Oryzias latipes: one gene and its partners. The protein of the gene in region 1 interacts with the protein of each later gene in a biochemical or structural test. Links are inferred from orthologs where the notes say so. Each region holds a gene or a part of one and is shown in the gene's direction. Other genes may lie near its edges.

The links.
Region 2: the proteins of catenin delta-2 (region 1) and disks large homolog 4 interact in a test that uses a peptide from one of them, tested with the Homo sapiens proteins (2 studies listed by IntAct, with this or other methods). The link is inferred for Oryzias latipes from reciprocal best matches to the Homo sapiens genes CTNND2 and DLG4.
Region 3: the proteins of catenin delta-2 (region 1) and discs large homolog 1-like protein interact in a test that uses a peptide from one of them, tested with the Homo sapiens proteins (2 studies listed by IntAct, with this or other methods). The link is inferred for Oryzias latipes from reciprocal best matches to the Homo sapiens genes CTNND2 and DLG1.
Region 4: the proteins of catenin delta-2 (region 1) and pdzd2 form a complex in vitro, tested with the Homo sapiens proteins (2 studies listed by BioGRID and IntAct, with this or other methods). The link is inferred for Oryzias latipes from reciprocal best matches to the Homo sapiens genes CTNND2 and PDZD2.

The regions. Positions count from the first base shown.
Region 1 is NC_019875.2:19,375,882-19,383,927, forward strand, and holds the start of catenin delta-2, read left to right. Parts: upstream 1-3,903; 5' UTR 3,904-4,235; intron 4,236-8,046. UniProt on the Homo sapiens protein: Has a critical role in neuronal development, particularly in the formation and/or maintenance of dendritic spines and synapses. Involved in the regulation of Wnt signaling.
Region 2 is NC_019872.2:14,408,682-14,416,033, forward strand, and holds part of disks large homolog 4, read left to right. Parts: intron 1-148; coding exon 149-263; intron 264-850; coding exon 851-1,027; intron 1,028-1,117; coding exon 1,118-1,160; intron 1,161-1,235; coding exon 1,236-1,266; intron 1,267-2,596; coding exon 2,597-2,647; intron 2,648-2,764; coding exon 2,765-2,866; intron 2,867-3,036; coding exon 3,037-3,209; intron 3,210-4,209; coding exon 4,210-4,322; intron 4,323-4,439; coding exon 4,440-4,531; intron 4,532-7,352. UniProt on the Homo sapiens protein: Postsynaptic scaffolding protein that plays a critical role in synaptogenesis and synaptic plasticity by providing a platform for the postsynaptic clustering of crucial synaptic proteins.
Region 3 is NC_019875.2:12,819,220-12,826,571, forward strand, and holds part of discs large homolog 1-like protein, read left to right. Parts: intron 1-2,055; coding exon 2,056-2,151; intron 2,152-2,335; coding exon 2,336-2,389; intron 2,390-2,457; coding exon 2,458-2,508; intron 2,509-2,752; coding exon 2,753-2,877; intron 2,878-3,360; coding exon 3,361-3,530; intron 3,531-3,755; coding exon 3,756-3,892; intron 3,893-3,961; coding exon 3,962-4,106; intron 4,107-6,750; coding exon 6,751-6,883; intron 6,884-7,297; coding exon 7,298-7,352. UniProt on the Homo sapiens protein: Essential multidomain scaffolding protein required for normal development. Recruits channels, receptors and signaling molecules to discrete plasma membrane domains in polarized cells.
Region 4 is NC_019867.2:30,194,634-30,201,985, forward strand, and holds the end of pdzd2 (PDZ domain-containing protein 2), read left to right. Parts: coding exon 1-123; intron 124-381; coding exon 382-493; intron 494-872; coding exon 873-974; intron 975-2,146; coding exon 2,147-2,360; intron 2,361-2,690; coding exon 2,691-2,813; intron 2,814-5,203; coding exon 5,204-5,466; 3' UTR 5,467-5,564; downstream 5,565-7,352.

The DNA.
Region 1 (8,046 bases):
GATGAGGCAATGGGAGGGGGTTGTTGAGCCCATTGACTACAGGGACATGATTGACATCGGGTGATGGAGGTTATAGTGACTTCATCCCAGTGTCTGCAGGGATGAAAGGGGCGCCACCAACAGCAGACGCTGTTGTGGAGCAGGAATAACGTCACCATCACCTCTATCACCTCGTGTCAATCATCCTGGTGGCCGATGGATTCAAGCCCCCACCCCCGCATGAAATAAGGATCAACAGCAAATACACAAAATCTGAATAAAAACTGTAAATTTAAGACTGGAACCAAGGTGAAGGAAACAAAAATGCAAAAGTTGAAAAAACAACACAGCAGCTGTTACAAATAAACATTATTTTATCAGTTTTCAGTTTGTATTTTTTATTTATTTTTCAAATTTTGCAATTATATTTTTTTAAACTTCAATATTTCCTTTAAGTGTAAATTAACATATATTTTTGAGATTTAAAATTTTATATTTCTAAATTTCAAAAATTCTACTAAGTTAAAATTTATTCAAGTGTCCAATTTTATTTTTTCATTTTAATAATTCCTTCAAAATTACAAAAATATTTTTTATTCATTTTCAAATTTACAATTTAATTTTCTAATTTTTAAAAACTAAATCAATTCACAATTTTTTTATTATTTTTAATTCAATAATTCTTTCAAGTTTAGAATAATACTTTTATTCCAATCTAAAGTTTTTTTTCCTCTAATTTTCAGTTATTTCTTCAAGTTGAAATTATGTTTTTTTCTAATTTAATTTTCTTTTCAATATTTCCTTCCAGTTTACATTTTGTGCTCTTAAGTTAAAAACTGTGCTCACATCTTCACTTTTAATCTTGTCATTTTTTCAAATTTCTAATTCTATTTTTCATCCATATTTGGCTGACCCTTAATAGAAGCTTTTTTCAAAATAGCTGAATCCCACCATTGTGTGAGTCCTCGGTAAGAGTTTATGCTTTAAGTAAAATTGAATGCTCCGTGAATGTAGCTTCATGTCGAATTCCAAAGGAAACCAAATCAAATCAGCCGTTTATAAAAAGTAATATCGTTATGGTTTGTTTGAGGAGGAACGCGTATAGGTAGTTTAAATTGGTTCACATGAATGACGTTACCACAGGGCAAAGGCCGTTTTGATGCCAGGGATTCCTACACATCTTAGTATACTTTTACATTCCACAATAAAGAACACAACCTCCTGTCAGCTTGTATTACTGACACAGTTGGTATTTTTATTCTGCAGTGGGTTTACAGGGATGCAGCCGTCTGTCCAGAGCCGCAACAGGAAAGGAAATGAAAGGAGCCAGCTAGAAAGATCCTCGTAAAAGTTGACCCAATACTTCTAAAGTGTTGATTTAGGCTGGATGAGCCCCGGACCAAAATGTGCTGTAAGGCTTCGCTGCTTGGTTTCCAGGAGTTTTAAACCCATCAGTTTCCTCTTTCATGGCAGTTGGAAACAAACACTTGCTGTGAGTCATAATTTATCAGCAACAGGTCCAATTAACTAAATCTGGTTCAAAAACCTCATTAAATGTTGGGGATGGTGCTCCCAAGATTGATAGCTCCCTTTCTTTTTCCACCAACAAAATAATTCTTTGCGTTCAACCAAACCCAACTTCAAAATAAAATTAATCAACTCAAACATCAAGTATATTTTAAATCCTGGTTCTTTTAAATGTTACAAAAGAAGCATAAAAATAATAATACAATTTATTTTTACAAAAAGGATTTTTACACTTTTTGGTTAAAAAAAACAAAAAAGCTCTTATTTAATCTTGAGATGTAAAATCAAAATTAATAACTAGTTTTGTGCAAAATCATTCTGAAGGCGATTGTAGAAAACCACTAATTCCACTAGATGTCAGTGGAACCAACTGGGTTTGTTTCTTAGACACATATTGGACAGACACATTATAGTTGAATGAAACTCTTTGATGGGTGGTGTGTTTGTGTTTGAATCGTCATCAGCTGATGGCTGTCCCATTAGGGCAGTGTTTATCAATTATTTTTTGCCAGCCCCCCCCCTAGGAAAAAGAAAATGTTTCGCGCCCTCACTGTCACAAGAACACCCTGGACCTTGTTTTAACCCATGGTATAGAGATTGGCCAGCTCAGTGTCCTTACTCATAACCCCATCATTTTTGATCACTTTCTGTTTACCTTCCAGTTTACATTAGAACATGCTACTGCCCCAGTGAATAAGAAACAGCTTAGAAGAACCTTATCTGACCGTTCTGTGTCTGAGTTTAAACTCACAGTTCAGCCAGTACTTAGTAGCAGTCTGAGCAAATACTCTGAGTCCAGCTCCCATAGCATCAGTCCTAGTAGAAATGACCTGTTTGTTAATGATGCCTTACAAGCCTTCAAGAGTATACTCGATGTTGTTGCCCCCCTGAAACCTAAGTTCGTTAGACAAAACCGAGGAGCACCGTGGTTTAACGCTGAAACACGTTCTCTTAAACAAGTTGGAAAGAGAATGGCGCCGCTCCGGTTCAGAGCAGTCTGAATACCTGGAAACATAGCCTATTAAATTACAAAAAAGCTCTGCGTAGAGCTAGAACTCTGTACTATTCAACCTTAATAACGGAGAATGGAAATAATCCAAGATTTCTTTTTAGTACTATTGCTAAATTAACTCGCAGTCAGAGCTCAGTTCTGTTTGTATCAGCTCTGATGATTTTCTTACATTTTCTTACATTACCTTTCTTACATACACTGTCACCAATGCCCCCCCGTTAAATTTGCGCCCCGGACAATTGCCCGTATAACCTGTGCCTAAAACCGCCAATACCGCGCGCCCCCCCTGGCATCGCGTGCCCTACTATTTGAGAAGCACTGAGCTACTAGTAAATATGGATATAACTATTATATCCATATTTATGATTATATGTTACCTTTGGCATTCTTAAGAACATGTTTTAATGAAATATGAGTTCAAAGTTCATTTCCAACCCAGAAGTAAGACGACTGGATCTCTGAGGCTCCGCCTTTCCCTCCGTGTGGGTGCCGCCCATTTCATGACGTAAACCTAGAGTCGGCCTCAGCAGCGTCTCTGCATTTCTCCCACGACAACAAACAACATCCAAACTTTTTCTAAGGAGGATGTGCATAATATGAATGTAAAAGCAAAGTGTTTTCAGCCGATCACTGCTAGCTTAGTGGATAAATTGTCGATGTGTGTTTCTGTTAGCCTGGGGGGCGGTGCTGGCAGTGCAGACTCTTCCTGGAAGGGTCTGTTCTTCACTTTGTGACATCACAATGTGAGAACCACCTCATTTTTGTGGATTGGGAGGGGCTGGTGCTCAGAGCACAGGTTTTTAGAGGAATACTCAGCATGAACAGATCAAAATACCAATAATAGTGAAGAATTAACATTATAATACTACTTAAAAGCTCTAAAAACTGATATAGGCCCTTTAAGAGGTTACATATCATCTGCAGTAACCTAAATTACATAAACAACAGTGTTTGTGCTTCTCTGAATCCACAGCTGAGACTCATTTGAATCTCTTTTGTCCCTTTTTGTTTCACTAAAGCGATTCATATCTGGAATTACACCATAAATCAGAAAAAAGGATTTGCAACCAGCACCTCCCCGACTCAATTTTCTGTGTTGTTCCTGCATTCAGCAGATCATTTGGGCCTTTTTTACGGTTAAACCTGCCTGTGACTAATGACTGCCGCTTGAAGGCACCACCAACAAAGTAGGATCCACCCCACATCCAACATGCGTCTCTATTCCAGCTGTTGAGGCTGGGAGACACTAATCCCCCCGCCCCCCCGGCCCGCACATAACTGTACTTCTCATCGCCAATAGGTGTCGCTGCTGGCACTGGCACCCACGCCGTCTGTCAGTCTGTCTGGCAGGGATGGGGGGATGTTTTATTGTGAACTACAGAGGAAGGGAGGGAGTGAAAGCACCTCTGCCGCTCTCCTTGCGTCCTCTCCCGTGCGCAGTTGCGCAGTGCTCCGGCCCGGTCGCTCCATCCCTCCTCATCACAGCTGTTTCTCCCGCCTTGGATGCTGGCGGTTCCCCCTCCCGCAAAGAAAAATAAAAAATAAAAACGGAGGGGGAGCTGGAGCTGACACTTCATTGGAGCTGGTTACCTATTTCGCATGGTCTGAATTTCGGGAAATTCGCACGTCGGAAAGGCGGAAAGGAGGGGAGTCCAAAGGGGAAGAAAGGAGGCTCTCCAACCCCCCCCCAGAGGAATTTATTTTACAGTAAGGCAATGTCAGTTCACTTCTTTGCCTCACTGTCTGTGCACATAGATGCTGCTGTGAGAGACAACCTGCTGGGATTGCTGTTTTTTGGATCAAGGCTGGGCCATGCCAAATGTTCCATTCCAGTTTAGGTGTGGTGTGTGTTTGTGCTGATGCGCCGTGGTACGCATACATTGATCGTGAACTAATGATGGACTCCCCCCATGCATCCTTACTGCACCCCCCCCCCCCCATTTCGATCCATCCATCCGTCTATCCATCCATCCAACCATCCATCTATCCACGGCCGGGGTGTGAAAGTAAACGCTGCAGCTCTGACTGGGTGCTTTTTTTTCTTCTGATTGACCCAAATTGAAGCGATATTTGTAAGATCATCACGTGTGTGACAGCGGCTGAGCACGCGCCTCGCCGTGCGCCTTTGTGCCGCCTTTTGCAGAGCGACGCACGCACGGCGTCAAATGTGGTTCCCCCCCGGCCACCGCCAAGGTTTGCGCGCGGATGGAGAGCACCTTGCACAAACTCTGGCCTGTCTGCTTCCTCCTGATTTCTGCGTGTCTGATCAGTGTTTTCCCCCTGGACTAATTATTCCCCTTCATTCTTTTGGTAAAAATTCTATTTCAGCAGAGATGATAAAAAATAATTTATTCTATTAATTGTAAAATTAGGCTCCGGGTGGGGGGGCTTTATTTTGGCTGAAATGGCCCTGACCTATTCAACCATATGTCTGCAAAACATATTTTTCGAATTCAGCCTCCAACCGCTGTTCATCAGAGGTTAGAGTAAGAGCTTTAATGTGATGGACATTAGGGAGGTTGGTGGGATTGGTTGGGGGAGAAGATAATCAGTGGGGCAGATTATACCGGACAGTGAAAGGTCTTAATAAGTTGCCTCTTTTACACATGACTTAGATCTGGGTGGAAATTGTGGCAAATGTGCCGATCCATTAGTGTGATTTCCTGTACAGAAGCATCTGAGAGCATCACAGCTTAACCCTAAAACTCTCCATCACGCCTGTCACACAGTTCCAAGTCTTCCTTTAAGCAGGCAGTACTATGATAGTAGTTGTATATAATAATGTCCTATTTGATTTTATTTATTGGAGTATTATTCAAAAATAAACAGACATGCAGTTTTTCCTCAGACTGTGATGTAAATTTTAAGCAGTGTCTTTTTGCAACAAACAGTAGTGCTGCTTCTCATTGACTTAAGGCGGTATCAAGAATTGGTTTAATTGTTTCTCTTTTGTAACAAATGTTGAGAAAACACAAAGTGGGTTTATCTGTGTGTACTGTAAAGCCCTTAAAGTCCCACACCTATCCTCTTTTGATCTTTTGTAAAAGTGTTCCCTGTGGTCTTTTAATTATGATTATGCCATTTTTAGCCAAAACTCAATTAACCTGTTTGTTCTGTTCTTGGACATAGTTTCTGCAGAGTGGCAGAAGTTTTTTAGAAATTCACCTGATTTGTGGGATGGTCTGTTGTCGTGGAGATGCCGCGCCTCCACTTTCCATCATCCATTTGTTTACACACTCTCCCACTAGCTTACAGCCCCTCATAACCCCAACCCAACATTACAGGTGCAACAAAAATGGCGTGCAATATCAGCGCTGTCCAGGCATATGTACAGTTTTGAGTCAGGTGCCAGCTTAGATGAGGAAAATGAATACATGCATGGATCTAGTTGTTTATAGCAGAGCAGGGCACCTGTTTGCCCGGAAATAGTCGCACCCTCATCACAACTACAAGCTTTTTCGAATGGAATTTTTTCACCCCTACTCAACAATTTGGATGAAGAAATACTCAGAAATGCAATTTTACTTTTAAATTTCCTCATTTGTACTCTGTCATCAGAAAAATGCCACAAAAACATGTTAAAAACACCATTTTAATCAGAGTAGGCCTTTAAAACTTATAATATAATAAACTTATAAATAGGAGGAGACGGCATTGTTCGTTTAGAAAATAAGAAAAAAAAATGTATAAAATCTGAATTTATGACAGATATTAGTTACCTGTTATAACACTAAAACCAGAAACAAAGTCTGGAGAGAAATAACAAAGGACAAAAAGTAAAATTGGGATTCTTAGCTTTTGTAGCTTCATTGAAATATCAATGTGGAATATTATTTATTGTATATTATGCCACATTTTCTGTGTTCTTCCTTGTATTGTGGTCCCCCCATACAAATCAAGCTTATGTTATGATCTGTTTTATCTGCACTAGTTTTTAACATTTGCTTCATTATGTCATTGCATTAAATTTGTTTATAAATAAGCCTTCAAATAACAAATTTGAATGGAATTAAGCTAACCTACATGTAACTTGATGTAGCCTTTCCACGCAAGCTAAACTTTAGATTGTCTGTATTTGAGGGAAGAAATCTTCTGATAATCATCCACCAACATTCTCAGCACCTTAAAGTTTTGCTTGTGGGTCAGGATTGCAAAATTGGTGTCATTGCATCGTGTGACAGCTTCATTGCAGTAGCCATCACGCCACATTTTTGCAGCCTTTGTTTTCCTGCTTTTCTCATCTGGATGAATGTTTAAAGCTGTCACAATACTTCTATTTACCTCTGTGTCATCTTTAAAGCAGAGGTAAAACTAACCCTGTTATTTAATAAGTAAACTAATGGGAAACATTTACAAAAATGGTACATTCCTGGGAAAAATACTTTTTAAAAATTGTGTTTAAAACAAGTCTACTGTCTCATTTCTTTATATTAATAAACTACTGTTTTAGAATGCTGTGAAATGCACACAGTATAAAGTAAAACATATTACGAATTAAATTAAAAAGAACAATTACATTTTTAGTTTAAATTAAATGTAAAAATAGTTATTTAGCTTGAATTTTTTGGCCTCCAAACAAAAGCCGTTTTTTACCTCTGGTCTTAGGGACAACAATATATCTGATTCAAAAGCAGACAAAATGGGGCTTTGTCTATTGTTCTTTGTCATCAGGCTTATCTTCTGGTAATATGGAAAAATCTATTTTCCGTATCACTATCGTTCACATTGATGTCTCAAGTGTGTCTGTGTACACTCTACAAATAGTATCAATGACGACTCATGCTAGTGCTAGCACTCGTGCACATTTACCTTATTTACGCACTATAGCACGCCCCAACAATGAATGGTCTATCTTTAAACTTGTCATATTAAGGTGAACCGAACTATGAGGGGCATTATGCGTGACAAAAAGTCTGAGAGAAGTCTGTTAGTTAGTCAGACTTTATGAAATGCATTCACATTAACTCCAGAACTTTTTTGTAACATGCTACACATTAGCCATGGTAGAGGCGTTAGCGTATTCACAATTCTTGTATCTCCCAAACTTACTATGCTTATTTCTAATGTTTCTAGTAATTCGTAAAAAACTGTCTGACACCGCCAAAACAAATTTTACTTTAACTACGCTAATTTCCAGCGTTGCTAGTAACATATTAAAAGCTGTCTGACACTGGCAAAACAAACGTTACTTTAACTGCGCTAATTTCCAGGGTTGTTAGTAACACATAAAAAACTGTCTGACACCGCTAAAACAAACGTTACTTTAACTACGCTAATTTCCAGCGTTGCTAGTAACATATTAAAAACTGTCTGACACTGCCAAAACAAACGTTACTCTAACTACGCTAATTTTGTGGGCCCTCTTTTTTCCCCGGGGTTCCCCCCTCCTGGGCGGGGGCGGCGGGCCCCTGCCTTGCTCCTCCCTGGACCAACCGTGGGCCAGGCGGATGGCTGCCTGGAGTGCGGAGCGGGTCTCCCTTTGGGGGTCTTGGCTCGTATCTGGGGTTGGGGCGGGGGGATGCCTGGAA
Region 2 (7,352 bases), on another chromosome or scaffold:
TACTTTCTTTTATGAAATAAAAAATGATTTAATATCTTATAAATAAAACCTTTCTAACCAATATGATAACGCACATAACAAGTGATCATTTAGAGTGTGAAATGTAAAACTTGTCTGTCTCAAAATGTTTGTGTCTTCTCTGCTACAGAGTACAGCCGCTTTGAGGCAAAAATCCACGACCTGAGGGAACAGCTAATGAACAGCAGCATGGGCTCTGGAACAACAACTTTGAGGAGTAACCCAAAGAGAGGCTTCTATATCAGGTCTCACACCGCAAAATGAAAACAGCACAAAACACAGTCATTCCGATACAGCAGCTTACTTCTGCAGGGAGAAGTCCACTGCCTTTGGACAAAAATGGTTGTGTTTCTATTTACTGAAAACTTATAATAATGTCATGTAAAGAAATAAAATTCCTTATATATGTATGTGAAAGAATTGTATCAACTTAGATTAGAGATGGGCAACTCCAGGCCTCGAGGGCCACATTTCTGCATGTTTTCCAACAATCCCTGCTCTGGCATGTTCTAATTGGCTGGACACATCTGAACCAGGTAATCAGTCATGAGTGGGGCTTGTATATCTGGAAATCATGCAGACACACAGGCCCTCGAGGTCTGAAGTTGCACATCCCTAACTTAGATCAAATAAAAAATTTTAAGGACAATATGTAGGTTTACTTAAGGCCCTTTAGGGTGCGCCAGGAATTCTCATATTCTTCAGCAAAGAAAAATGGTATTAAAGTGGTTTAGAATTCAATATGGCATTGGAAGCACTTAAGGTGTAACATATTTGCTGTTAGGAATACTTGTAAATGAAAAACATTGTTCCTTTTTTTTCCATGTTTTAGGGCTCTTTTTGACTATGACAAGACTGCAGACTGTGGCTTCCTCAGTCAAGCTCTTAGTTTTCGGTTTGGGGACGTGCTGCATGTGTTAGACTGCGGGGACGAAGAGTGGTGGCAAGCCCGCAGGGTCAGTCCCCAGAACGAGGCAGAGGAGGTCGGCTTCATTCCCAGCAAGCACAGGTACAACTCCTGAAAAATCCCATCTCAATAAAGTTACATTTAAATCTCTGTTGTGATTGTTTTGTTATTCCTCCTCATCCCTGTTTGCAGAGTGGAAAGGAAAGACTGGTCTCGTGGAAACACCAAAGAGAGGGTATGTTTGTTCTCTGAAACTCTTGCTCCAATCTGTCCTTCTGTGTGTAAATCTGACATCTTCTCTTTGTTGCAGGATCATGGTCGAGACAGCTTGAGCACTCAAGGTGATGAATTGAAACAAAACCTCACTATATGCTAGAATATACCATATTAAAGTGTCAGAGTGGGAGTGGAACCAGAGTGGAGCAGTGGTTAGCGCCTTCACCTCACAGTGGGAAGCCCCTGGTTTAAATCCTAACGGGTCCTGTCTCTGTGCAATTTGCATGTTCTCCTTGTGCATGTGTGGGTTTTCTCCAGGCACTCCGGCTTCCTCCCACTGTCCAAAAACATGCTTCATAGGTTGATTGATTACTCCAGATTGTCCTTAGGTGTGACTCTGAGTATGTATGCGTGTGTGATTGTGTGGTTCAACAACAGGCTGGTGACCTGTCCAGGGTGTACTCCACTTTCTACCAACTGAAGCCTGGTTAGGTTCTGGCAACCCCGTGGCCCCAAAAGGGCTAAAGCAGGTTAAGAAAATGGGTGGATGGATGGGAGTGGAACCACTTTTCAGCCCTAAACTTCATGCAAACTTCTTTTCCTTTACAAAGAAAAATGTATAACTTAGACATCAATTAATTAAATTTAGAGAAAGCCCATGTTCTCTGCTGTTAAACTTTGTAGATTTTTTTTAACTACTAAGAAGTTTAAAATGTTCTCATTCAGTCTATTTTCTTTCTAAACTGGAGAGATATGAAATGCCTTATTGACAAATGCCCTTACAGGTTATAGGTTAGTAAGGTTGAAGTAGGTCAGACGCAGGCACAATGGTAGGATTTTTTCTTTTTTCTCAACCTCCCTGAACCCTACGCTTTCTGCATGGGGCTCGTTAGTGATGTTCAAGTTATATGTGTGCGCCCGTTGTTCGTAGCCTGGCTGTTAGACAATCAGAGCGTAGTTTTCCTGGGCGTCCTTTTGCATCACCTGCACTCCCTGTGCGTGCAGCAAGGTTAGTAAGGAAGCAGTACTCGCAACGTACTAACGACTGGAGTGCTGCGGAAGGGCACTGCACGACATCATGAGTGTTTGTAACTTACATTATCCTTACAAATATTTCACGGTAACACATGCTCGATAATCGTATGTTTCATTTTCATGATCCCCCTTAAGGTGGCTGCATGAGCCACAAGGGAACTAAAAGACACACCTGTGCTGACCTTAAGATGCAGCCACTAGGACCCTCTACGGGCCCGGACAACCCACAGCACCCATGAGGGTCAACCCAACCTAAACGGGTGCTTGTGAATAAGAGCTTGAATGGATGGATTTGCTTTTAGTTGGCATAAGTCAAATACAGCCACGTTCACATAGATTTATGAAGATGCTAATTTGCAAATATAAAACCCAAAAGTTACTTTAAACCTGAAACTAAATTCAATTATATTCCGCCAACAGGGAGAGATAAGAAAATGTCACAAAGTTATGAGACGGTCACTCAAGTGGAAGGTAAGGCTGTGGAGTGAAATGTTTGAAACTCCATTTCAGCATCAAATAAAATCTCTGTTATGATTCCTCTTTTGTGTCTAATCCTGCTCTCTTTTTGTTCTTTTCCCTCGTGATAAGTACATTATGCGAGGCCCATTATCATTCTGGGTCCGGTGAAGGACAGGATAAATGACGACCTGTTGTCTGAGTTCCCTGATAAGTTTGGATCCTGCGTCCCTCGTGAGTAATTGTGCTGTCACTCACGGAGACTGACCTGTTTCTCACTTTTTAAATGACATGTCTGCTGCAGCTTGAGCAAGATGTCTGCAGAAAAGCAATAGCTTTATTTTTGACATTTGCTATAGCATATATAAAATGTACCATTCTGTTTTTTTTACTGTGTTTGACAGACACTACGAGGCCTAAGAGGGACTATGAAGTGGATGGAAGAGATTACCATTTTGTGTCGTCACGGGAACAGATGGAGAAAGATATCCAAAGCCATAGATTCATAGAGGCTGGCCAGTACAACAGTCACTTGTATGGCACCAGCGTTCAGAGCGTCCGAGAGGTGGCAGAACAGGTGCCTATTAACTTATTTGTTGATTCAAAACTATCTGTATGAGTTATGGATAACTGCTTCAAAACACATACAGTGTTTGGTTGGATACCACATACTAAAATACTAAATCAATTTGAAAGACCAATTTTATTCATTATCAAATTTTTTTTTAATCATTCAAAACCAACTCTATTTGGTTAAGAAAAACGTTACACATAACTAGTAACACAAACTGAAGAAATCTGTTACAGTGGGCAAACAGGTGGAGACCCAAGTGCAGCAAAATACTCCATTTGACAGTTGAGTCAATTGAAGGACAAATTAAATTTTAAAAAATCAAAACAAACAAAGGAGACCCAGAAACTAGGACATTAAATTAACACAGAGTGGTGGATAACACTAGAGCAAAGTAACATGGAGAACAACCAAACACACAAAGGAAGGGGAACCTCAAATACAAAATATAAAATTAACCAAATGCAAGCAGCTGTGAGTGGGCAGAACCTCTGGCAGGAGCTACAGGCTGCCTGCACAAAATACGGAAAAACAAACCATCCACTAAAGTTAACTAAAAAAGCGGGTCAAAAAGTGGAACTCTTTCTAGAAAAATATAAATCCTTACATCAAAAAGGTAACTAAAAGCAATTGATTGCCTACAAAAATACAATAAATGACACTGAAATCAATTGCCTGAATCAACATTGACTTGCAAAGTAAAGACTAATTTAAGTAAAATCTGATGCCCAATGTTTGCCTCCATAGGTAAAGTGAGGTGTGAATCCATTTTTAATTCATTTTTATGTAAGTATTTGTGTGTGCAGCACTTTGTGGTACTAGTTATAAAAAGTACTATATAAATACATTTGGTTGATATCAATAAAAACTTAGTTTTAACTAGCCGTAAAAGTATCCTATTGTACTCCAATTATCTTTTTTGTGTTACGCCTTGTTTCTGTTACTTTTTCTTTTTCCTTTAATGAAATTTGCTTTCTCTTCTGTCCTTCTATATTTGCACATGCAGCAAGGGAAACACTGCATCCTTGATGTCTCTGCCAATGCTGTCCGCAGACTACAAGCAGCTCAGCTGCATCCTATTGCCATCTTTGTCCGACCCAAATCCCTGGAGAATGTTCTGTACGTACTAGAATGCTAAATAATAAATTTTAAATGTTTGATTGAGAAATTATGTGTTTACTCTAAATTGAAAAATAAGGAGAGTACAAATTAAAGGAATGTGTGTGATGTCAACAGAGAAATCAACACTCGTCTGACAGAAGAGCAGGCCAGGAAAGGAATGGATCGAGCTCTTAAACTAGAACAAGACTTCCTGGAGTGTTTCACAGGTGAGATCAGACAGCGTTTGATGCAAAACTAATCAGTGCTCTGGTATTTGCACAGTCAAAGTTTCACATTTTAATCTTTATGTAGACTTTTAAACATCTCTAGGATATGACTTTTTATGGTCACCTTTTACCATTGCTAAGTGTTCTGTTATAGGGGGATTTTTTGACACAAAAAGAAATGTATAAATGTCCCCAAAATGATTACCAATTTGCAATGTTGTCTAACTCATTTAAAAATGTATATTTAAAATAATGTAGCAAAAGTTAACAAAATCTAGAACATTGTGGCTGCTTGTTTCCATGGTATCCCACATCTCAATACATGTTCATGCAATGTTATTGAACGAATGAAGCTTTATTTATATAGAACTTTACAACTGCTTCAGGGTACCAAAGTGCTTCGCAATAAAACAAAGTTTAAAATTAGACAAATGAACAAAAAAAATTAAAAACACCTTCATATTACAAAAGCAATTAGCTAATGAATGCATGAAAGTAAGAATGTACAAATAAGAATATAATAGAATGAATACAAGAAAAGAAAATGTCACCGACTACTGAGCTCTAAAAGCCATTCTAAAAAGGTACATATTAGTTGACATTTAAAACTGTTAAGGTCTGATATTATAGACAGTTCTGCAGGAATGTTTTACCATAACTGAGGGCCAGCAGTGTTTCTGTCATGACAATGGGCACATGAAGCAAATATTGGCTGGCAGACTTTAAAACTCTAGAATGACAGTTAAAAGCTGAGTTAAGTAAACTTGGGCAAAATTATGAAGAGCTTTAAAAACACAGCGTAGTAAAAGTAAAACAGTGAGAGTCGTAACAGTAAAAGTTCGAACAGAAAAGAACAAGTAGAATATTGTGATCGTCATGTGATCTAGCCATGCAATACACCATCGTATCTTGTAAGGTATCATAGCACAGGTGACGAAAAGAAGCAAAAAGCACCATAAAGTACCTCCAGTGCAATTTTTATTGATGTGTCAAGGTGATGTAACACAAAATGTTTGTACAGAAAACAAAAGTCAGTTTCTGTACTTACATTCTGCCATAGTCAGTCTAATCTAAATGGTAACTCAGGAAAAACATTCCTAACACTGAATTTAAATTGCTTTTCACATTTCAAGGAGAATATGGCCCTGGCACATCACACTATCCTTCTCTCTATACGAGAATTTGGACACTTTAAAGGCTGCTTTTATTGTCTGTAAGAAGCAAGACAGTTTGTCTTGCAGACAAGACAGAAAATTGGCATTTTGGTTTAGCTGATGCCAGAGAAGGCCTGAAGAAGGTAATCCATATCCAGTTCCTATAGTAACAAATAATCAAATGTTTTAGAAACTAAATTTGCTCCATTTTTAGTCAACTGAATGAAAAAAAAACATTTCTGTCATTTCTTCCTAACAGCTGCTGTTGTTGGCACAATGCAGAAATCCATGTGGCGTGTGCACTTATCAGTGGGAGGCCCCTATGAGGACTTATGAGAGTTTTTTTTAAGGAGAATAAAATGTCCTGGCCAGAAAAAAAATGTTTTGTTCCCACAGCTGTATGTGCAGGACAGAATGTCTTACTTTCTCATCAAGAATGAACCGCCAGTAACTCTTCTGCACATAAACTTACAAATCCACATCTTTGGGCTGACTGAGAGGAGGAAGAACGTATTGGGACTCAGCCGTATTATTATTGATTACTAGACTGAGGCCTAATTTTCAACCTCTTACCTTCTCTGCTTTGCTAAAGGGTTGTCCAGGATAATGTAGAAATGTTAATACTGTAATCACTCCTAAAAAAAAATTTAGGAATTCACTGTATATACATGTCAGTATGCATGTTTCAGGGTTAATATATTGTGCAAAATCAACATAAGAAGTTAGGATTACATTTAATGAGCTGTTGTATAGTATCGTTTTAATGTTGTACTGTATATGTATTAATAATCTCAGAAATGGCAATTCTTTAGAGCCACATGTTGGCTACAGTAGTAAAAATTAATTTACATTTAGTGAATGGAAGAATGAAATGTTATTGTCAATGGAGTCAGATGTCAAAATGGCATCACATTTGATTAAATTTTCTTTTAAATTATTGCCAAGAACAGTGGTTAGTCATAATTGAAAACAACAACAACACATACTGTATTTATTGGACCATTATTAAAAATAAAACATTTTAATGAAATTTTCCCCCTATTGTTACCTTTGGGAACTTGATATTCCACTTGGAAAAAAGAAATTCCAACATCTGATGAACCAATTTCTAAAGAGCATGCAGGTTAAAGACCAACTCTGAGGAAAACTGTGTTTTTGGTGTTTTAGCATGTTCTTGTGGCATTTTTCTGATGATGGAGGACATGAACATATAGAAAATTAAGCCTTGTCTTCGCTTTCCTCGCCCAAGCTGACATCTGGTTTTAAAACTGTATGCTTGTACATGGATCTAGTTATCTACAAGTGGATGCATCAGCAGGGAGCTTGTGGCTTGCCGTAGTAGCTTCTGCAACACATTTATAGGCTTTTTCTAACTGCAATTTGAAGCATAATTTTCTTTTTATATGTCCTCCATCATGAGAATAATACCACAACTATATGTAAAAAACACAAAAAACTATTTTTTCATTGGAGTGAGTCTTTAAGAAAAAGAAAAAGTGCAATTTTCTCAAAAACGTCGTTATTCAAAATTCATCACATGTCTTCATCGGGAAAAAAGCTCTTATTTTTTCCTTAATCTTGTTTTCTGTGGTGCCACGTTGGTTTTTCCATTAGATTTTGTAAGGGAGTAAGAAAGGAAACAACGTGTTGGTGCTTTACATCAAACA
Region 3 (7,352 bases), about 6.6 Mb from region 1:
CCTCCTGCTAAATGCTGACCGTACAGCCCTCTGCTGGACAGGTATGTCTTGCTCATTGGAACTAAAGTGGGGGCAGCGACGATTGGGTCCGTGTGGGCGGATGCTGTCCCCTGCTGCTGACATGCACACAGGTCTTCTGTGTGGTGAGCGTGGAGGCTGCATTGATTATTCATGCAGCACGCTGAGCTGCACCCCCCGGTGTGATGACATGAGAGGGACAGAGCTGCAGGAGCAAAGGGGGATGAGCGCAGAGATCGCACACCGCTGCTTGCCTGAAGGAGCCGCCTTCATCCATTATTCAGCCTCGTCTTTTTCTAGGCAGGACATCCCCTTCAGCATGACAACACACCCCGCTCGGCAGGGGCTCAGTACGACAAAGGACTTGGGTAAAAAGCCCCCGCAGGTCAGTTCCAGCCTGAAGGAGACCCTGGCCCACCTTCACCCACTCCAGCGTCAGCATGCCATCGAGCTACACCAGCAGCAGCAGCAGCAGCAGCAGCAGCAGCATCAGAGCCGCCCCCCCGTGCAGCCGTCTCTGCCCCCTTGCACCATGCCTGCCTCCTTAAGAGCACGCAGTCGCTTTCTCACCCTGCGGGACAGCGTTAAGAAAAGCCCCACCAAGAGCACGGCCAAGGTGGTGATGGGGCAAGCGGCTCGTAGAAAGGAGGTTTCCTGGATACCATTCAGCTTCGGTCAGGTACTCCAGCTGTGTGGCCAGGGGCCAGCTGTGCACCGGCCTCTCTTAAAGAAACTCACAAACTGTCAGAATGCTCCGTTTAGCAGTTACGCTCTCTGTGTGCGTGTCCAGATCTAACCAAGATCTGCAGGTTTGGAGAAGTACAAGTGTTATGTGTGGTGCAGTCTGAACTTCAAGAAAGGGGGTGTGGTTTTGAATTTAAAGAGCTTCTTTAAAAGGAGCTTTTCTATTTTTTGGAGATTTTTGTGAAACCCCTTAATTGAGTTTTCTCTGTAAGTTCCACAGGTTCTTTTGGACTTCATCCTTTATTTTTCCTGCTTTGTTCTATAAATAGAAGTCAGGGTATTCATCCCTAAAGAAGAGTTCCCGAAGTGAAACACGGGGGTGGGAGTATGATGCTGAGTTCTCCTCTTGTACAGGGAGCTGTAGTTGGCTAGATGATCTCATAAAGAAATGGGAACATGAAGGGTGGATTTAGAAAGATAACTTTGTGCAGGATCAAGATCAGTGTGATCTGGGCTTGTTTTTCATGGAATCGTCTAAATAGATGGAGTTGACAACTGATGCTGGCGGTGGGGTTATTTGCCGCCGCCCCCCCCCCCCCCCCCGGCAGTATAATCTGAGCGCTGCTGCAGAAGTGGGGCTGACTGATCAATGTGCTCAATGTGTTCAACTAATTATAGCTGCTGCTGCTTTTCCATGGGCAGCTTCGGGGCCTGCTGGAAACGAGCGCTGAACCTGGGGAACGGATGAAGCCTTCAGAGTCCTGGAGTTGGCTCAAAACCTGCTCCTTTAGTTGAAGTTACAGTGGTGTCAACTCGTTTTGGATAGGTATTCATGGACAAACGTGAGCACACCTAGCCTGTGTGGATCGATGGGCAGGATGCCCCTCCCTGGTGATGTATGTGAACAGGACATCGCCATTAGTTTAAAACAGTCCTTGTGGTTTAAGCCTAGGTATGTTTTACTTCAAACTTTGCCCTGATTTTAGTTTAAACTAAGTTCAAGTTCAGATGGTGGCAGAGAAGAACAGCTGAAATCAAACACAAGCTGGTTGTGTTTCATCTTACCTCCACTTGTCCCCTTTCATGTCTCAGCTGCATCCCATAATGATGGAAAGAACATCCACTCCCTGAGGAAAGGGATGTTCCCCGCACATGTGCCGAGGTCAGGTAGATGGGCAATAAAGCTCAGAGCAGCAGATGGGGGTTATCCTCACTGTCTGTCATTCACATGACCTCCTCCTGTAATTGGCGGCTCGGTCAGACTCCACTCACCTCTGTGAGCTCTAACCAAACTTTTAAAACTAATTTTGTCTTCTTCCTCCATGCTGTCTGTCTAATCTCCAACTTCTCCAGCAGGCACAAGCCACCCCACCCTCCCCTCCCATCATTCCTGTGATCCCCATCACGCCAATCTCAGTCGAGACCACCGTCATCCCTCCATCCTCACAGGTTTTTTTTCTTTTTTCCCATTTCATTCACTTATTTTTGTTTCTGTGCTCCATCCATAAATCAATCCATACATCATCCATCCATCATCTACTGCTCAGCAGGCTGACGTTTGCCACAGTGGGTGGATGTTGAGGTATATTCTGACAGGGTGTGATGTTTCCTTTTGTGGTGCTTCTTCCCTCAGGCTAACCCCCCTCCTGTGGTGGTGAACACGGACAGCTTGGACACGCCTCCTTACGTGAGTTTGAACCCGTCTGCTGGTCTTCTGTGTAGCACAAACTCTTCTGACTGCGTGTCTGTGTGCAGGTGAACGGGGCCGAGGCAGAGTACGAGTATGAGGAAATCACGCTAGAGAGGGTAAGACCACCAGCTGCAGTCATTCAGGAAACACCCCTCCCACTCATCTTTAAGGGTCAGAGCAGACTGAAATAACGATCATTTTGAATACCATCTGTTGTTGGAATGGTTTTCCAGCATGAGGTATTGGGTTACTTCTCCCTCATTCCTAAAAGATGTTCTGGTGAAGCCTCTGTGTTCACAAACAGACCTGAGCACACTACCTGTGACACTGATGAGCATGCATGTCTCTTCCTGCTGCCAGGGAAACTCCGGGTTGGGCTTCAGTATCGCTGGTGGCACGGACAACCCCCATATCGGTGAGGATCCCAGCATCTTCATCACCAAAGTCATACCTGGAGGGGCTGCTGCTCAGGATGGGCGGCTTAGGTGAGATGACACATAGACTAACTCATGCATATTAGCAGACAGGTGTGTTTCTCTCAGCGTTGGTGGCAGTTTGTATAACAGACAACTGTCCTTAAAGTGTTTCACAATAATAGACGAGGCATAGGCGGATAAACGTGATGAGAAGCATAAAATATGTAGATGTTTAGATGTTACCTGGATAAAATGTTGTATGATTTAGGAGTTTCCTGGCTTTAGTGTTGCCAGATTCAGATGTTATGTAGCTCAGATGTTGCCTGGTTTAGATTTTGTTTGGTACAGATTTCACCCAGTTCAAAGGCCCATGTGTTGCCGGGTTTAGGGTTTGCAGATGTTCATCCCTGATATGAAAAACCTCACTTGGGGCTCCAGGTGCTCTATATCATTTCATCCAGGACCATCTGTGTTTAGTTTGAATTTGGTGGACTAAGTGAAGGTCTCAGAACCCCACCCCCAGTTAACACTGTGCTCCTTCTCTTGTTTTAGGGTAAACGACGTCATCTTAAAGGTCAACGACATGGATGTGAGGGATGTGACCCACAGTCGGGCCGTGGAGGCGCTGAAGGAGGCTGGCTCTCTGGTTCGGCTCCACGTGCGCAGGAGGAAACCTGTCTCTGAGAAAGTCATGGAGATCAAGCTAGTGAAAGGACCTAAAGGTGAGTGTTAGTCTATGACCGAAAACCGGCTCAGATCTTTTCCAGAAATGTTTTCTGCATTATTTCGGGTTTTTGTGAATCTAGAATGGTCTATGTTGGACTTCTCATGGATGTAACTAAGTCCAGCCTCTTTGTTGTACCACAGAACTGCAGCTGGTGATTAGTGTGGCAGCCCCTTCGGGGGGCCCAACAGGTCTATGTTCACGTGCATTCTGGTCTGTGCAGGTCTGGGGTTCAGTATCGCAGGGGGAGTAGGAAACCAGCACATCCCAGGTGACAACAGCATCTATGTCACCAAGATAATTGAAGGTGGTGCTGCGCACAAAGATGGCAGCCTGCAAATAGGAGACAAGCTGCTGGCTGTAAGTCTGACTAAACTGTGCATGATCCAGCCAAATCTGCTGCAGTCTGAGGCCTGTGTGTTTATGCAGGTGAATAGCTCCTGTCTGGAGGAGGTGAGCCACGAACATGCTGTCACCGCCTTGAAGAACACACCTGATGTGGTCTACTTGAAAGTGGCAAAGCCCAACACCGTCTTCATGAATGATGGCTTTGCCCCGCCCGACCTCACTAACTGTGAGTGACATCACTTTTGTTTCATTATGGCTGATGGTCTCCACACAGGAAGTTGTTACAATCCTGCCGTTTCTGTTGGATGCAGCCCTAAGGAGAAAATGCTAACCTGCTCCTCAGTCTGGCTGTTACAACTTCAGTAGATTCTAGTCGAGTACCACAGTACCTCGATGTTCTGGCCAGACCTGCTTCATAAGAGCAACCAGCGGCTAGCACATCTGAATGTTGCTCATTCCTTCTTCATGATTTTCTCCAGGACCTTAGGAATTCTAACTTATAAGTGTTCCACAGAGAATCAGCTATGTGTGTGTGTTTGTGCATAAATTTGAGTGTCATCTGTCTGCCTGAGGGTGTGTCAGTTCTGTGTGGGTGTGTATACTTGAACTCCTTGACTTGGGGGAAGAGCTCTCCACTCACTCAAAGGGGAAGAAAACTGTTTTCATGGTCAAGAACCATGGTCTCCACCATAGAGGTGATCATTCTCCTTTTAGCCAATGAAAAGATAACTGTAAGCTATTTCAGTGCACACTTAAGGTTCTGGTTCAAAATGCCCTACAGAACAACATTATCTGCAAAAAGCAGAAATGAAAACCTGTAGTTCCCGAGTCAAATTCTCTCCGGCACCTAGTGGTGACTAAGGGCAACCCTCTTGAATTCTTCCCCTACCCCTACGGCTTCTCTCTGCCCCTACATTTAGCCCTTCAAGCGAAAGTTTATGGAAAAATAGTGTCTTCAAATTCGGACAACACTACCCCTGGATGGTCATCCGGTGTGCTACGTTATCGCGTAGCTGCCTGCTCTCAGAATGTACATAACATCGGGTTTTTAACTTAAAAAAGCCATGCTAATAATGCAAATAATAATAAAAAATATATGAATTAATAAAACACACAAATACCCAACACATACACATCCCAACATTAAAATCAAAACAAATCAAATTAGTTGTTTTATAAAATCAAGTAAAAACATGTGGACAAGTAAAAAGATGTGTTTTAAGTTTTTTCTTAAAAACCTCCACAGTGGCTGAAGGCAGGCAGGCTGTTCCACAGGCGAGGCCCACAGTGCTGAAAGGAGGCCTCGCTGTGGGTTTTAGTGTGGACCTGAGGGCTCTGGGAGGGTCATAGACTATAAGTAAATCTGATAAAAATGAGGATCCAGGTCCATGTAAACCTATATAAACTAATAAAAGAACCTTAAAAGCGATCCTAAAGCTGACTGGGAGCCAGTGCAAAGACTTCAAAATTGGAGTAATGTGCTCCTTCTTTCTGGTTCTAGTTAAAAGGCATGCAGCCGAATTTTGAACAAGCTGCAGTCGATTGAAAGTATTTCTCTTAACACCAGAAAGAAGAGCATTACAATAATTTATCCTAGATGTTATAAAGGGATGGAGTAATATTTCAGCACTGGCTTTAGAGAGAAAGGATCTCACTTGGGCAACATTTCTAAGGTGATAAAAGGCAGTCTTTGTAACTTGGTCTGCGTGTGATTCAAAAGAGAGGGTAAAGAGATTAAGTAGTGAGATTCCCTCTTGTTGAAGGACAACCTCTGGTTCCCCTTCTTGAAAGAGGGACCACCACCCTGATCTGCTAGATCAGAGGTCTCCAACTTCCAGGCAATGTCCTAAAGGAATGCCGTCAAAGACGCTCCCAAAACATCCAGAGACTTGAGGTAGTAAGGGTGGACCTCATCTGTCTCCAGTACCTTGCAACCGATGTGCTTTTTGACACTCTCCATTTGACTACAGCTTGGGGGACGGATTGGCCCACTTCTGGTTCCCCAGATACTATTTTCTTATGAAATCATGTCAACAGAATTAAGGAGATTCTTCCACCTCTCAGCATTTCCCTGTTCAAGGTCAACAGCTCCTCACCCACACTGTAGACGGTAGTGGCAGAGAACTGCTTGCTTCTCCTGAGAGTCTAGCCCTCTCAAAAGGTTGGGTTTTAGAGTCCAAACTTTGAAGAGGCGCATGCCCAACTATCTTTACCCAGGACCCTCACCCTTCTGCAACCTAAGGGTCCCTCCCACTTAGGGAGGTAACAGGCCATGTCCCGATGATTAGTCCATTTTTGAGGATTGGGTTGTTGCGGCACCAGCCCCTTGTAGACCTTCCTTGTGAGCTCGGGGGAAGGCCAACCCTAGGCTCGGTCCCGAGATAGACCCTTGGTGACGTGAACCTTGTATTCAGTATTTTTACGAAAGGATTTTTTCCATACAGTAGTAAAAAAAGCTTTTTGTTTCTTCCTTTGGTTGCACTTCCCTTTATTTATGTTTATTACTTATTTGTTTGACCTGTTTTTACATTATTCATCTGTTTTTCATCTTTCCCCAGTTTTTTTTTTTCAATCAAATGCATATCCAAAAAGGTATACAAAATGTTGTTGTTTAATTGACTGAAATGAAAAGCAAGGTTTTGAATCTTGGAATTGTGATTCTATAAGACAAAAAGGTTTGTTTGGAGTTTAAACTGCAGAGGATTCCTTTGGTGTTTCAGCTGGAGCTCACCTGTCTGCTGTAAACCGATCAGACCGTCTCCAGTTTCCTAGGTTCACTTTACCCCCTATTCTGCAGCTCCCATCTCATCCAAATGGGTGTTTCTACTGGCGCACACGTTTTTGGTTCACGAATGCTCTGTCTCTTCCAGCTTACTCACAGCACATGGAGAATCATATCAGCCCCCCCAATTTTGTAAGTCACCAGCTTCAACCACGAGGATCCTCGGGATGCTACTCGCCCACACCAATGAGCCCGCTAGCAGACGACGACGGTGTCACTCGGTGAGTACGGCAGAACACGCGCATAAATATTCATTCAAAATGGTTGATTGATTGATTCACAGATCATTCCCAATGTTTAGCTGTTTGTCCTAATGTTACCACCCTACAATTAAAGCCTCATTCAACCACCTCATCACAATTTATGCAAGAGAAAAATATCATCTGACTGCTACAGCTACTTTTTTCTTAACTGGTCTGGGTTTCTCTGTGATAGAAACATGAGGTGACCTTCAAAGTAATCTCTGCCTAAACAGACTCGGCTTCAGCTATAAAGGATTAAGACGACTATAATGTAACTGCAAGTGTGGGCTTTGTAACCCTCTGGCCTACTGGAGAGGAAGATGAGGCTGCATTCTTGATTTTTGTTTATTTTATTCTGACCTCCACAAATTTATAGCTATGGTTGCCCCACAGGGAGCCGAGGAAGGTGGTTCTGCACCGAGGGGCGACCGGACTGGGATTCAACATT
Region 4 (7,352 bases), on another chromosome or scaffold:
TGAGCGCCCCCCTCCATCTGTGAGTCTGACCAAGGTGATCCGGATCATCCATGCAGACCCTGGATCCCCCGTGCACGCCCCCCCAGAGACCACAAACAGCAAAGACCCTGGATGGTCCATCAGGTGGGGGCCACTGCATCCTAATCTGCAGCTTTTCAACTGTAATCAGATTAGGCTTAGATGTAAAATTAGAGAAGTTCTCTGTCATCGGGGTTCAGTCAGAACCAGAGAATGCATGAGAAGCATAACCCCCGACGGCCACTAGGAGGCGCTGTGCTGAACTCCCCCTCAATCGGAGGTTTATCCAGTGAAGCTTCAGAGCGAGGATCAAAAAGATCACGTTTCTTGACTCACCTGTGCAGGTCTGTCTGTCACCTGCAGGCTGGACGAGCTGGCAGCCTCCTCTGTGAAGCAGCAGAAGCTGCGGGCGCTGCTGTCCTCGCCCTCCAGCGGATCCTCGGTGGCGAGCCCGCTGCACCAGAGCCTAGCCCAGGTAAAGGTCTGAGGTTCTGCCCGGTTCATGATCATCTGAAGTGACATTTAAAACACAGAAATCGGGTCAAAATGGATTTTTCATCTTTGTTAGTGGCGCCACCATCGGGTGACATTTGGCAGTGATGATGGAATCAGAGACGTGTCTTTCCATTTTATTTTGTCTTTTTCTTCAAATTATTATTCAGAGTTTTTTCTGTAATAAACTTCATCTGAATTGTTCAGAAGTACAACAATCGTTTTTAAATGTGCTGAAACATTTACAGGATTATTTTTGGCTGCAAGCAGAGAATTGGATGTTACAAAGCATTTCCATGGACACATGGTCTCCGTCACGCTGCCTTGACTTTTCTTCCCACTGTGGTCGCTAAACTCTGCAGGCTGACCGCGGCTCGCTGCTTGTCGTCCTCAACAAAGGCGAAGGCTCCGGACTCGGGTTCAGTATTGCCGGTGGCGCCGACCTGGAGCAAAAGAAAGTCATTGTGAGTAAAAACTGTGGTTGATGTTCCAGAACATTCAAACCGAAAGCTGAGAAATGCACCTTAACATTTCTGGCTTTAAAAAGAGACAAGAAAAAGCTGAAAATGTGGAGATGATGCTTCTACAGAATGTAAAGGCCGTGTCACACAGGCTTTATGTACAATCTGTGCATTGTCCACGTGTGTAATTTCGGTCTTTCATCATACGTCTGTGATATACATAATTCTCAAGTGTTTCTTGCGATCATTGGTCGATGTGTGCAGATGTCCGTCGAGGGTTTCAGCCGATCACGTGACTTTAGTTTTGAGCTGTTCAAAATTTGTGGTCGGATGACAATTACGCCGATTATCCCTGTTTTACGTAGTTTATGCACAATTATTATGTAAATCTCACACAATTGTGCTTGATTTTGCGAGATGCTAATTTGTGTCTTTGCATGACCGATCCACGGAAATGTAACGGACTTTTCAGTCATGTACCATTGATGGGTAACCTTTACATCATGCATACGGTGGTGCACATATCACGGTTAAAATGCGTAATTGACATTCAAAACACTAACAAATTGCATAGAAACAGAGCAATAATCACACACGGTTCTTGCACGATTGGCATTTTGTGTGACAGGTATATAAATCGTCCGAACTTTCACCCCTCCAGCAGTCTATACCGAGTGGGGGTCTCTCATGGGGTCTCCAACGCCGCAAGGGAGGTGGCCGAGTACAGCGGGCGCCGATGCGACTGTGGACGCTTGCTTGGCCCTTCTCACTGATCTCCCCGGCTGATGCTCCTGCTGGAGGTCCCCGATCTCAGCGGCCGACTTAGAACTGGTGCGGACCAGGAGAATCTGACTGTTGACTTAAAACACAGCATGGCGAGGGCCCACGGCGGGGGCTGACCATGGTGCTGGCGAGATGTGATTTCTGTTCAATGCTCTGAATGTCAAAGTAAAGAAATTCAACAAAGCGCGGATTTATGTGTTCTCTGCATGTTTTATTCAAACTTCTTCCGTGGTTTTGACGCGGTTCATTTATGATAGATCTGTGAACGGTTCATGTAAAGACCTCAACTTTTCTCATTTTATTCCCCGTATGTTCACGTGTTCAATTTTCCTCTGGGCAAAAATGTAGGTAGCGGCAGTGTGACGCGGCCTTTAGATGTGCTGTGTGTCCAGGTTCACAGGGTCTTCTCCAAGGGGGCAGCCAGCCTGGAGGGCTCGATCCAAAGAGGCGACAGCGTATTGTCCATCAATGGAACAAGTCTGGAGGGGAAAACCCATCGGGAGGCGGTGTCGTGCCTTCATCAAGCCAAACCGTCCAGCCAAGCTGTGGTCGTTATTTGGAGGAACAACGTGGAGCCGGCTCGCCACACCGTGATCTGGCCGGACCGTAAGTGTGCTGCTGCTTAAGTCTAACCCGGGTTGTGCATAAAAATTTAGAAAATTACAACCAGTCTCATTTGGGAGATCTTCTTCCAATTGACAGTAGAATGAGACTATAATATCAGTAGAGTTACACTAGAATGACAGAATGACAATCACAGATGGGCAAATGAAGGCCTGTCGGTGTACACCTACACCAAAAAGTTATGACTTAATCATAACCACAGCTTTTTGCCATTTTTCCACTTAGATGATATCTTATTTTGTGTTTTTTATTCCTGCGTCTCGTTAGTCCTGTTCAGTCCAGCGAGCTGACATTAAGCCTTTTGTCTCACAGGAGCCGACGGTGCGTTTACCGTGGAGCTTCAGAAGAGCAGTGCCGGCCTGGGCTTCAGTCTGGAGGGGGGCAAGTCTTCCTGCCAGGGGGACAGGCCCCTCACCATCAAACGCATCTTTCCAGGTGACCGCCGGTCTGTTGAGTTCAGGCTGAACTTTAAACACTCTCAAACATTTACACATCAGAACCTCACACATACCGTCTTTTTCAGACTATAAGTCCAAATGCATAAATAAGAAAAATCACACTGTACTTTTGGGAGAAATTTCAGGGGGAAAAAAGATATTAATGAAATAAATAGCATTAATAGACTGAGTATATGCAGTAAACCATTGACGCTTGGAAACAGGAATCTAGTGTATAAGTGCAACATATGAACAGTTATTCAGATAAAACTAGATTAACTCTTTACCCACTGGGCATGGACACATCTATTAGATATCTAAACCATGACTAATTCAAAGCTTACAGCTGTAGATATGCATTATGCATCTGATAGACATTTATTCATAGAGGTCTATTGCATATTGGGGTTTAGATCTCTAGCAAACAACTTTCCTACAGTTAATTGCGTTGTTGTGCCATCAAGCCTTGCGCGTTGTAAACAAGCCATTTGGGTAGTTTCTGCCCACCGGACACTGGATGTCTATGAGTTTTCTAACAGGCATTTATTGTAGATGTCTACTGGACGTCTTAGGCAACTCTATTTTGTTACTCTATTAGATTAGAGTAACAAAATAGAGTTACAAAATATATGAAATCCCTAAATTTGACAGATTTAGGGATTTCAAGTGATATACCCACCAGGCACAGGATCTCTATTAGAGACCTGATATACATCTACTGTAGATGTCTACAGAACATCTCTATTTTGTTACTCTAGTTGTGTACCAATAGTGTTTAGTGTTCTACATGAAATCTGCATATAGAGGTCTCCTAAACATCTATCTGTAGACATCTAATCATTTGATATCTTTAGACTAGACGTCTATTAGATAACTAATAGACATCTATTGTAGAGGTCTACTGGACATCTTAGACAACTCTATTTTGTTACTCTATTAGATGTCTACCGAAAGTTTTCTGAAACTAACTGCCATCCCAAGATTAGAGGTCTTCAGATAGATGTGTAGGAGACCTCTATATGCAGAACGCCATTGGTAGACAACTAATATAGTAACAAAATAGGGATGTCAGAGAAGTCCTGTAGACATCTACAGTAGATGTATACCAGGCATCTAATTGAGATCCTGTGCCTCGTCGGTATATCACTTCTTCCTCTTTCGGCTTCTCCCATCAGGGGTCGCCACAGCGAACAAGTCGCATGGTAAATTTGGCAATGTTTTACGCCGGATGCCCTTCCTGACGCAACCTTCTCAAGCCGGGCTTGGAACTGGCACAGGGGTAGAGAAAGGAACAGGGAGCAGCCCGGAGTCAAACCCTGGTTTCACGGACGGAAGGCGCCGCAAACCAGCACGAGCTAAACCGGCTCCCTTGGTCGGTATATCACTTGAAATCCCTTAATCTCTGTGTTGCCCTCTAGTGGTTGTGGCAATTTATTTTTAAAAATCACATATAAGTCGCACCTGAGTATAAGTTGCACCCCCAGCCAAACTATGTATGACTTATACACCAAGCAATACGTTACACAATAACATTCACACTCAAACAGTGACACAGTTACACAAATGTTTACAGAGATGTTAACACGTGCACACTCAGGTCACCTTTGTTAGGCGTGTCATGTGTCATGTGGAGTTGTTGGATCCACAGCTCCTCTGGAAAATCACCGACCACCATTTCCCAACATGGCTTCATCTGTAGGCCCTCCTACGTGTGAGGAGCTCACCGCTCCACGGCCTGAATAAGACGCCGACATCTACTTTGGGCGCTAGTGCCGTGGCAGAAATGTGAATGTATCTGCTGTCAATCAAAGTGACTTATCGTGTGTGTTGGTTTGGGTTTATTTGCATAATCAGGATTTAACGGAAACAGTGTCATTGCAAAATTGTGTTTTTTGACATTTCTAGAATGTCGATAACGTTTTGGGCATACGTGTCATGGAAACACAGCTAGTGACACATTCATTCCCTCACTTCCCATACAATTCCACTCGCACACATCTACACACACAAGCATTCACATGGTCTAAATCTTGAATGCTTAAACGAGGAAACGCTGTCAAACATTCTCACAACATTCTCCCACCTTGGCTTTCCTTTCCATATGGTTTTTGGGATTATTTTGACCTCGTAAACAAGGCTGACCTCAGCGTCTCTGTCATCACACACAGACGGCATTACAAACCCAAAGCTACAGAACGCTGACGCTTCAACATGCTAAACATGACTGGTTGTTTCAGCTGTTTGGTGTGGAAAACTCTCCCACACGGCCGTGTTAGTAGGAGGAGCTTCGTCCATTCAGCTGTTGACCGGGACGTTACAACACGTGTGTGATTTACTCCCCAACAAAATTCCTTTGTGACTCTGAACCGTTGCATTCCTCCACCTCAGGGGGCGCTGCAGAGCAGTCTGGGCTCATTTCCGTGGGGGATGAGGTTCTGTCCATCAACGGCTGCTCTCTGGAGGGGCTCATGCACCACGACGCCTGGAAGATCATCAAAAACGCAGACGAAGGTCTCAGCCAGCTTCTCCTCCGCAGACCCATGAAAGACGCCCCTGCTCAGAGGATCCTCTGTAAAGCCCCCCCCACAACACGACATGAGCCAGCAGCAGAGGGGGGGGCTCTGCACCTTCTGATAAAGGACTTATGTTGAACTGTGCTGTGTGGATCCTGCCTGACAGGTCTGTGTGACAAGCATGTACACACAAAGGACTTTTTTTTTTAAATAAACGACTTCTGAGAAAACATGCAGCAGCTGACTGAAGTAATCCAGACTGTCACTGAAGAATCAGAATCACTTTATTTGCCAAGCGAGCGCATGTACAGGGAATTTGTCTTCGGTTACTTGTGCTTTCGTGCAAACTAGCAAGGTGAAAGGATAAATAATAAAAAGATAAATGATAAAAAGAAGGTAGATGTAAGGTAGCTGTATGAATAAATAAACATAACTAAATAAAGGAATGGATTAAATTAAAAAAGTCCAAAAAATGCAGCAGCAGTAGTTCCAGTTTGTGGTTGTACAGTGTCCCTGAGCAGTCCGGAGTCAGGAGTTCATCAGAGTGACAGCTCGGGGGAAGAAGCTGTCTTTGTGGTGAGTGGTTTTGGTTCGCAGTGTCCTAAAGCGCCGTCCTGATGGGAGGAGGCTGAAAAGGCAGTGTCCAGGATGAGAGGGGTCTTTTACGATCCAGAGCCCGCTTCCAGGCTCTGGATCGGTACAGGTCCTGAATGGAGGGAAGGCTGGAACCAATAATCCTCTCAGCGGATCTGATGATTCTCTGTAGTCTGTTCCTGTCGTGTCTGGAAGCTGAACCAAACCAGACCGTGATGGATGCGGTCACGACAGACTGGATTATTGCCGTGTAGAAGATGGTCAGCAGCTCCTGAGGCAGGTTGAACTTCTTGTCGCAGGAAGTACAACCTCTGCTCAAGTAATCCAGGCTTTAGCTACAATAATCAAGTTTTCAGATTAATATAAACTTTGAAACAATCCAGACTTTCACTGATATAATTCAGGCTTCAATTGCATTAGTCCAGATTTAAGAGTAATCTAGACTTTGAAATGATCAGAATCAGAATCTTTTATTGTCATCATGCAGTGCACAATGACATTTTCCCAGCAGCTCTTTTCTAATTAATATTAAACATAAATAATACAGAAGACTGTACAGTAAGAAAAAGATGAACATTGTACACATGGAATGAGTATTGCATACATGATTAAAAGTGCAACCAGAGCATAGTCAACTGTCAACTGTGTGGTGACAGGGGATCAGATGCCTATGTTAAGACTGTGTGTGGCGGGGGGGGGGGGGGGGGGGATCTCACAGCTCTAGGGAAGAAGCTGTTTCTCAGTTTACTCGGTTGGGTTCTGATGCTCCTGTATCTCTTTCCAGAGGGAAGCGGTACAAACAGTTGATGTCCCGGGTGGGCGGGGTCTGCAGCTATACGACCAGCCGTCCGTCGGACCCGTGTAAATCCAGATTTACACTAAAATAATCCAGACTTTTACTTTAAAAAATCTGAACTTTCACTGATATTTATAATCTAGGTTTTAGAAAACTCTTGACTGAATCAATCCAGACCTTGATTGGAGTAATTCTGAGCTTTACTAAAATAATCCAGACTTCAGATCTAGATTTTAGAATAATATAGACTGAATCAATCCAGACCTTCATTGATATAATCCAGGTTTTAGCTGCAATGGTCCAGATTTAAGAATAATATAGACTGAAACGATCCAGACCTTTATTGGAATAATCCAGACCTTTACTAAAATAATCCAGACTTTCACTGAGATTATCCAGATTTTGGGAGTAAATTGTGTAGACTTTCGCTAAAAGGATCCAGACGATACAATAATTCTGACTGTGTAGTGATTCAGAGCTTGACTGAAGTGATCTAGACAAAACGATTCGGCTTTGGTCGTTCTTATTTTTGCACAATCCCTTTTAAAGGGTTCATTCTTCCCCTTTTGCTTTTGATCCGTTTTTATGAATCATTCAGGGCGCTGAAGTGTTTTGCTGGTTTACCTAAGGAAAG